Callithrix jacchus: one gene and its partner. The protein of the gene in region 1 interacts with the protein of each later gene in a biochemical or structural test. Links are inferred from orthologs where the notes say so. Each region holds a gene or a part of one and is shown on either strand. Other genes may lie near its edges. The genes, in order: CARD9 and TRIM62.

Evidence for each region.
Region 2: of the proteins of CARD9 (region 1) and TRIM62, one has a biochemical effect on the other in vitro, tested with the Homo sapiens proteins (4 studies listed by BioGRID, with this or other methods). The link is inferred for Callithrix jacchus from reciprocal best matches to the Homo sapiens genes CARD9 and TRIM62.

Annotation. Positions count from the first base shown.
Region 1 is NC_133502.1:184,844,210-184,848,510, reverse strand, and holds the start of CARD9 (caspase recruitment domain-containing protein 9), read left to right. Parts: upstream 1-1,429; 5' UTR 1,430-1,577; coding exon 1,578-1,926; exon of another isoform or gene 1,927-2,079; coding exon of another isoform or gene 2,080-2,362; coding exon 2,363-2,500; intron 2,501-2,672; coding exon 2,673-3,532; intron 3,533-3,939; coding exon 3,940-4,065; intron 4,066-4,301. UniProt on the Homo sapiens protein: Adapter protein that plays a key role in innate immune response against fungi by forming signaling complexes downstream of C-type lectin receptors.
Region 2 is NC_133508.1:69,757,233-69,761,549, reverse strand, and holds the start of TRIM62 (E3 ubiquitin-protein ligase TRIM62), read left to right. Parts: upstream 1-1,504; 5' UTR 1,505-2,130; coding exon 2,131-2,538; intron 2,539-4,317. UniProt on the Homo sapiens protein: E3 ubiquitin ligase that plays a role in antifungal immunity by mediating 'Lys-27'-linked ubiquitination of CARD9 downstream of C-type lectin receptors; leading to CARD9 activation, followed by activation of NF-kappa-B and MAP kinase p38 pathways.

The DNA of each region.
Region 1 (4,301 bases):
CTGGGAGTGCTGGGAGCAGCTTCCCTGGAGGGCAGAGGACTTCCACTTCCTTCTGCCCCACCTCTTGGGGCCTCCTGGGCTGGGCGAATCAGAAGGCAAGCCACCAGGGACTGTCCCCCTGTGGGAGGACTGGCGGGACTGTGGAGTTAACCAGAAGCCATCAGGAAGTGCCCAGGCATCCCAGCGTGCTCCTCTTCCCTGCAGTCACGGGTAGCATCTCCCAGAGGCTCTGCAGCCCAGACTCCTGGTTTGTCTTCGGTCAGGTGGGTCCTGGACCCTCAGGTGGGTAGGTCTGGTGCTTTTCTGAAAGGTGGCCAGGAAGGTTGGTGTCAGTCTCATTCAGGATCCTGGCGCTGATGCCCCAGAGCAGCATGAGGCTTTCCACAGGGAGCCGGGCAGCCTCCATGTGCGGCCCCATCCGTTTCACGGCCACTGTGTACATTTCAGTGGCATTACCAGCCGAGGCAGGTGGGACTCTGGATTCAGGCTGGAGAGGCAAGGCAGGGGCCCAGTGTTCCCAGGACTGTCTGCCGTGTGGGTGGTGCTTCTATTTAGTCCCTTGTCTGTTTGTCAAAATTGGCCTGAATGGGAAGACAAAGCACGGCAGGAAGTTGAGAAAATCCTCACAAGACTAAGCCTGGGGCAACTGTCTCCAGGAGAGGTGACCCAGCTCCTTTGGGCTGGAAACCAGCTTTCCCAGCGGGGCTGGAGGCTGTCTGAGGAGCAGGGTCTTGCGTGGGAGGCAGGACCATGTGGGTGCTCCCCGCCTTGGCCCAGTCACAGTCCCGGAGGGAGTGGCTTTCAGTGGCGGAGGCTTCTACCATGCTGGCAGAAAGGGACAGCAGTGGCTGGTCCCAACATGGGTAGTTCTTTTGTTGCAGTGAGCGAGATGGTCCTGGAGGGGGTGGCTGGGGGGCAGAAGAGTCCAGGAATTCACTGGTGCCCAGCACCTAGGAACCTGGAGAAAATGCCACAGCAGCACTCCTGGCTGGCCAGGGCAACACTGACAGCCCCTCCCAGGGTTGTGGGGCCAGGGAGTGGGGGGGTGACAGAGACACACTCCTGTGGGCAGCTCTACCTGGCTGGTACAGTGACCCTGGCAGCTGTGGCAGGGCTGGGCGGCAACTCTTGCATCATCAGCAGCCGGCCATGGAGGAGGGAGGGCACAGCCCGGGATGTGAGCGGGTGTCGGTCAGGGGAATGAGGAAGTCCCAGAAGGACCAGCTCCCCCAGCTGCTGTGCTGGTGGGAGGGTCACAGGCCAACCTGCTCTCACCCAGCTTGGCCTGGCCAGAGTGCCAGGCAGGTGCTCACACCACTCCACCCATGGAGGTGGCTGTCCTTGCAGGCTCCAGGGCTCCAAGGTGAATTGGGAGTGTCCAGGATGCAGAGGCCAGAGTGGGGGTCATGCTGAAGGGGGGGTTCCTCTCTCGGACCCATCTGTGCCTCCCTGGGTGCATATCTGGGTGACAGGATGGCCAAGGGGCAGCAGCAGGGGCTAGGAAAGGCTGTGGAGGGACCTGAAGGGGAAGGTGTCACTGTGTCTCTGCTGCCTCCCTGGGGGATCTGGCTGTGGGAATGGGCACCTCTCCTAGACGCCCCTGGGCTGATCCCCTTGACAGCCCTGACAAGAGCCCTGGCCCAGCATCTGAGAAGGGAGTGGGAGCAGGGCCTGGGTGGGGGCAGGAGGCCGTGTCACGCTCAGTGGCTGCCCCAACTCTCCTCAGCCTGCCTGCTGGGGCCATGTCGGACTACGAGAACGATGATGAGTGCTGGAGTGCCCTGGAGGGCTTCCGGGTGACGCTCACCTCGGTCATCGACCCCTCACGCATCACACCCTACCTGCGGCAGTGCAAGGTCCTGAATCCCGATGATGAGGAACAGGTGCTCAGTGACCCCAACCTGGTCATCCGCAAACGGAAAGTAGGTCAGTGCTGTCCCACAGGCTCCTGGCCCCAAACCCAACCAAGGAGCCAGCTCGGAGGTGGCTGCAGGCTCTGCGACCCTGACCCTCAACTCCAGAGGAACCCCACCCAGCTTTGCCCCTGGCCACCCAGTGAGGCCCAAACTCAACCCTGACATGTGGCCGCCCCACCCCCCAGCCCTCTCTTGCTGGCTCGGTGCTGCCAAGAGGGGTCATGGGGCTCCCACCACAGCAGGGACTCCTGAGACAGCCAAGGGGTGGGTGGGCAGCACTGCCCCCAGCCTAGCACCTAGACCCTCAGGGTGCCTCTTCCACGATCCAGACAGCAGCACACCTCCTCTGCGTCCCAGCCTCCACCTCTCCCCGCCCCCGGGCCCACCCATCCCAGCCCTCTGCCCCGCCAGCACCCCGCCCCTTTTTCGGCCTCTCTGGCCTGCAGGTGTTCTCCTGGATATCCTGCAGCGGACAGGCCACAAGGGCTATGTGGCCTTCCTCGAGAGCTTAGAGCTCTACTACCCGCAACTGTACAAGAAGGTCACGGGCAAGGAGCCAGCCCGAGTTTTCTCCATGATCATCGGTGAGTGACGGGGAAGGCAGGGCCAGCAGGGAAGGCGGGGCTGGGCAGTGGTGCTCGGTCAACCGACAGGCCCACATGCTTAGGAGCCCTGAGCTCCTGCCACAGCGCGAGGCGTGATGGAGCTGGACTGCCAGGGAACAAGGGCCCTGTCTGACACTGGCCCGGTCCACAGATGCGTCCGGGGAGTCAGGCCTGACACAGCTGCTGATGACTGAGGTCATGAAGCTGCAGAAGAAGGTGCAGGACCTGACTGCGCTGCTGAGCTCCAAGGACGACTTCATCAAGGAGCTGCGGGTGAAGGACAGCCTGCTACGCAAGCACCAGGAGCGTGTGCAGAGGCTCAAGGAGGAGTGCGAGGCCGGCAGCCGTGAGCTCAAGCGCTGCAAGGAGGAGAACTATGACCTGGCCATGCGCCTGGCGCGCCAGAGCGAGGAGAAGGGCGCTGCGCTCATGCGGAACCGCGACCTGCAGCTGGAGGTGCGCCTGCTGCCCCAGGGAACCAGGGTGGCCCCCCTCGCCTGGCCTGGTGGGGTCTGCGGGTCGGGGGCAGCCCCGTGGGTCGGCTGTCAGCACCTGGAGTGGATGGCTGGGCTCACCCGGCCTTCTGCAGATCGACCGGCTCAAGCACAGCCTCATGAAGGCCGAGGACGATTGCAAGGTGGAACGCAAGCACACACTGAAGCTCAGGCACGCCATGGAGCAGCGGCCCAGCCAGGAGCTGCTGTGGGAGCTACAGCAGGAGAAGGCCCTGCTGCAGGCCCGGGTGCAGGAGCTGGAGGCCTCGGTTCAGGTGTGGCTGCGGGCAGGGCGGGCACAGGTGGGGCGGGTGCAGCCTGGCAGGGTGGCATGGGCCTTCCCAGCTGGGCCATTGCTTTTTGCCCCCTTCAGGAGGGAAAGCTGGACAGGAGCAGCCCCTACATCCAGGTGCTGGAAGAGGACTGGAGGCAGGCGCTGCGGGACCACCAGGAGCAGGCCAGCACCATCTTCTCCCTGCGCAAGGACCTCCGCCAGGGCGAGGCCCGTCACGCCCGGGTACGAGCGCAGGCGAGGACATGTGGCCCCTGGGGGCCATGCTAGGCTAGGTGGGCTGAGCTCCGCCCACTCTGTCTGGAAGGTGGGGTGCGGGGACCCCAGTGCAGCATCTCCACTCACCCACTCCTGGAGGCACAGTGGATGGTGATCACTCCTTGCTCACCTGCACCCCATGGCAAAGGCCATGGGCTCCTTGTAGCTGGGCACGGCAGTGCCTGAGGCCTGGGGAGAGCCCTGCGCTGCTGTGGTCTGGAAGGGCGGGGTAATAGGGGCCTGGGGGCTCCTATGGCCTCCCCCAACATCCCGACTGACCTGACCCATGTTCCTGAGCTCCTAGCTGGAGCACCCCCCAACTGGTCAGAATGGGGAGCCTCAGGCCTTGGGGGCTGAGCTGCTACCCCCTGCAGTTCGTGGAGGAGAAGGAGATGTTGGAGCTGCAGTGTCGGGCCCTGCGCAAGGACTGCAAGGTGTACAAGGACCGCATCGAGGCCATCCTGTTGCAGATGGAGGAGGTCGCTGTCGAGCGGGACCAGGTGGGTGCTCACGGTGGGGGCTGGGGAACAGAGTGCCCCATTCGAGGTGGGTGCACCAGGGCCACAGGCCTTGAGGGCAGTTGTCAGAGGGTTTTTAATCTTTATTTTGTTATTTTTGAGATGGGGTCTCGCTATGTCACCCAGGCTGGCCTCAAACTACTGGCCTCAAGCAAATCCTCTGGCCTCAGCTTCCCAAAGCGCTGGGATTGCAGGTTAAGCCAACACACTGACCTGTT
Region 2 (4,317 bases), on another chromosome or scaffold:
GGACCAAACAAGACTGACTCCCAGAAATGGGCTGGGCTCAGCCTTTCTTTGGTCACATAGGGAAGTGGGCCACCTGAACAAAATCAGGGCTCTGCCCATAAGAAAAAGTTGAGCAACGGCTGTTACATGAGCAACCAAGCATTTTTCTGGCAATGATGGAGATTCTGGGCCAGATGAGAGTGTGATGGAGAACGTGTTAACAACAGAGAACTAAACTGAGAGCTTTTTCATAAACTGTACCTCAATAAAGTTTAACACCAGTGAAGATATTTCTGGAGAAGGCAGAAACTGGTAGCCACCCTCGATGCCTCATTTCCCTCACCCCCGTATTCAACCATCACCAAATTTCACCGGGTCTGTACTTGTAATACCCTAGCCTTCTCTCCTTACCCACTGTCCGGGCCTCACCCACAGTTTGGGTCTGGCCTTCTCTAGGCACGAGGACAACAGCATCTCAGGGATGCTCAGTCTTTCCTTCCTCTTGCAACTCATGGCATTGCTGTGGTTATTCAGCTACACACTCTTACTGTGTGGTGAGTGCTGTGCATACGCAGACACATTGGAAAAACTTCCTGTCTTCTTCACCTTGCAGATGGCATAATGATTATCTCCAAGACTTCCTGAAACCCAATCGGACCAGGTCATTTCCTTGCCTGAAAGCCTGATGCCTTCAAGAAATTCTTTACCAGGACCCACAATGCCCTCCAGCCCACCCAGGCCCTTTCTCCACCCCACCCCCAACAGTACAGAATTACTTGCACTTCCTTCACTGCACCCTCCCCTTTCACGCCTCTATGCTTTCGCACAGGCTGTCTCCTCTGCCTAGAAATCCCTTATCCCCTCTCCATCTGGCACACGACAAAGTCTCCTATTACTTTTCCTCCCTCTCTCCTGCTTCACTCCCCCTAGGCCTTACACACACGCAAACACACACACACACACACACACACACACAGCACTCCAGAATTGTTTGCCAATGGAGGCAGCCCCCGAGGCCAGACGTTAGCCAGGGCTTTCCAAACTTCTCCCCAAGCACTCCTTAAGAAAGTGAAGAGGAAATGGGACCCCAGGGCTTAGGAGTGTGAGAGCCTTGAACTTGCTCTAAGCAAGCAGGGCATTTCGAGAGTTTTAGCTTTATATTTTATGCAGAAGTTGTATTCCTAACATATTCTTGTTCGTTTTAATACAAAATATTATTTCTTCTAAATCTTCAAATCGATGATCCAGAAAGATGCTCCTTGTTTACTTGTTGTGCTCTCAAATTAGCTGCTCTCCCCGCTCTGCCTCGCCGCGGGGACCCTAAGCCAGACCTGGATGCAGTTCCAAGTACACACCCCGAAGGAACAGCTGGGCTTCGCTTCCCGGGGAGCTAGAGGATGATGGGGGCGGGGCGGGAGGGGTCAACCGGCTGGCTGCCCCGCCCCTCCCCCGCCCTCTGCGGGGGCGGAGTTGCTCGGGTCCCGCCCACGGGGGCGGGGAGGCAGCCGCGGCCGGCAGCTCGGATACGGCTGGTTCCGGGTTGAGAGGCTGCGCTGGACCGAAGCGGTGGCTGCTAAGCCCGCGGGGGTAAGGGGCTGCCCCGGGCCAGGGTTTGGGGCCGGGATCCGCCAGTTGAGCGGGCCGGCAACCCTCCTCTTCTCTGCGGGTCACAGCCAATGTGCGGCTCGGCCTGGCTGCCCCCTCCCCCAGGATTTCCCATCCCCAGCTTCTCACCCTCCCCCCACCGCCCCCATCCCGGGAGTTCGACCCCCTCGAGGGCTCCAGCACCCTCCAGGATCCCCTTCTTCCAGCTCCTATCCCTTCGGACTGCCCCGCCCCCTAGAACCTCCTCGCCAGGATCCTGGTCCCTTAGCCGCCCACGGCCTCCTCCCTCCGGCGCCCATCGCTTTGGGCTGCCCACTACCTCGAGACTGCCCTCCCGGGCTGGCGTCCCGGGGAGTCTCAGCTGCGCACCCCTTCCTTGCGTTACCCTCCTCCCGGAAAGCACCCCCTCCCTTCTTGGGTAGCTCCTACCCCTGCCTGTGCGGGCCTCGTCCCGGCTCCCAGCCCTCGGTGCTGCACCCGACAGCGCCGCGCTCTCTCAGCCGCCCCGCCGCCCCTCGAGCCCCCCTCTCTGCCGCCCCTGGCGCCATGGCGTGCAGCCTCAAGGACGAGCTGCTGTGCTCCATCTGCCTGAGCATCTACCAGGATCCGGTGAGCCTGGGGTGCGAGCACTACTTCTGCCGCCGCTGCATCACCGAGCACTGGGTGCGGCAGGAGGCGCAGGGTGCCCGCGACTGCCCTGAGTGCCGGCGCACGTTCGCCGAGCCGGCGCTGGCTCCCAGCCTCAAGCTGGCCAACATCGTGGAGCGCTACAGCGCCTTCCCGCTGGACGCCATCCTCAACGCGCGCCGCGCCGCGCGACCCTGCCAGGCTCACGACAAGGTCAAGCTCTTCTGCCTCACGGACCGCGCGCTGCTCTGCTTCTTCTGTGACGAGCCCGCGCTGCACGAGCAGCACCAGGTCACCGGCATCGACGACGCCTTCGAGGAGCTGCAGGTGCGCTGCCCGGCCGGCCTGGGGCGGGGGCGGGGCCGGGCTGGAGGTGGGGCTGGGGCGGGGGTGGGGTCAGGGCTGGACCGCGGGGCGGACCCAGTCGGAATGGTCCCGGGGCGGGGCCGCCGGCAGGGTCAGGGCCCTATCAGGAGTAACACGGGGCAGGGCGGGGGAGGGGGCGGGGCGGGGCAGGGGCGGGGCCTTGGGCAGTCCTTACCCGCGGGATCTGAGACTGACCTGGAGTAGGGGCTGGTCCGTGGTTAGGGAGAGGTCCAGGACGGGGATGGGACAGCGGGAACAAATGAGATCAGAGCTGTACCAGGTACTGGGCTGGAGCAGGGTTGTGGACGGAGCTGAATCAGAGCTGGGCAAAGGCAGGGCCACTGTCAGACTGAGGGCGAGGCCACGAGGATAGGACTGTACTAACCCGGGTAACTAAGCTCTGGCAGGCTGGGGGTTCTGTGGGGCGGAGACTGGATCAGATGTGCATCAGGATTAAGGGGAGTACGGGGGCTAGAATGTGCTGGGCAGGTGAGGATGAAACCTAATAGAGGGGTGTAAGTTAGAGTGCCAAACTGTTGAGAAGGCAGGTTTGAGTGCCGAGGATTAGGCCAAGCTGTATGAGGGGTTGACTGAGAGCTGGTCCAGATCCTCTACAACAAGTTTAGATTTAAGCCAGAGTAGAGACCAGGTTGAGTGGGGCCAGGACTTGAAAAGTAAAGATTTGGAGAATAAGGCCCAGATGTAAGGTGATTCAAGAAGGGAGGGGCTAGACCTCTAGGAGTCTCCAAGGGTTTTTGATGACCTCTTTGGCTCTGTCCCCTACGTCAGGATCTTTGAAGACTAAGTGAAATGGTACATTCAGAGGGACTTAGCATAGTTGACCTAGAACTCTAATTGGTCTCCCTTAAGACTTCCCATCTTCACTGACAAATTCCTACTCAACGCTTAAGGCCCTGCTCAGATGTCCTCTCTGTGAAGCCTTCTCCAAGCTCCACTGACAAAATCAATCAATCAATCGATAATTTTTAAAAAGACATTAGAACTGTATTTCCCCAAATGCCCTCTATTAATACATATGGGAAACGTAGTATATTTTCTTATACCCACCCCCTTGGAGAATTTTCAGTGTACGTTTGCATATTAAAAGCTTAGAGAAATCTTGTTGCAAATAAATCTATTTTATTGTGTTTAATAAAATGGCTCCCAAGTTTATTTGGGCCTGGAATCCTTTTTTCAAGCTAAATCACTTAAATCCAGCAGTCCCATGTTCCTGGCTTTGGGATATTAGTCGAGCACATAATTCTCCAATGCCAGAGACAGTATCTTATGTCTCCTATCTATAGCCCCAAAGCCTGGTGCAAGGCCTTGCCCACAGTATAGACCAATAAAGGCTGAATTAATGAATGAAAGAATGACCAACCCTGGCCTAAGCTGAACCAGACTGTGGAGCATTTGGAAGCAGACGGTTTTTGGTTCAAACATTTTGTGAAAATGGAGTAGGCTAACTTGGGAGGTAATGAGCTCTCTGGCCTCAAGATACCCAAACAGGAACTAAATAACTACTTTCCCCTGTATTAGAGGGGCTCCCAACCCCTCCATACACGAGTCTGTGAGTAAGCCTGCACCCAGCAGATCCCCATGGGCCTCAGGAGAAATGGCCCATGTTCACCATTGCCCCCTCCCTGTCCCTTTTATCTTGAAACTACAACTGACTCCCTTCCAGTCTAGCTGTCTGAGAATGAAGGCCCCATCAGAGAGTGAGCAAGGGCCTGGGCCTCT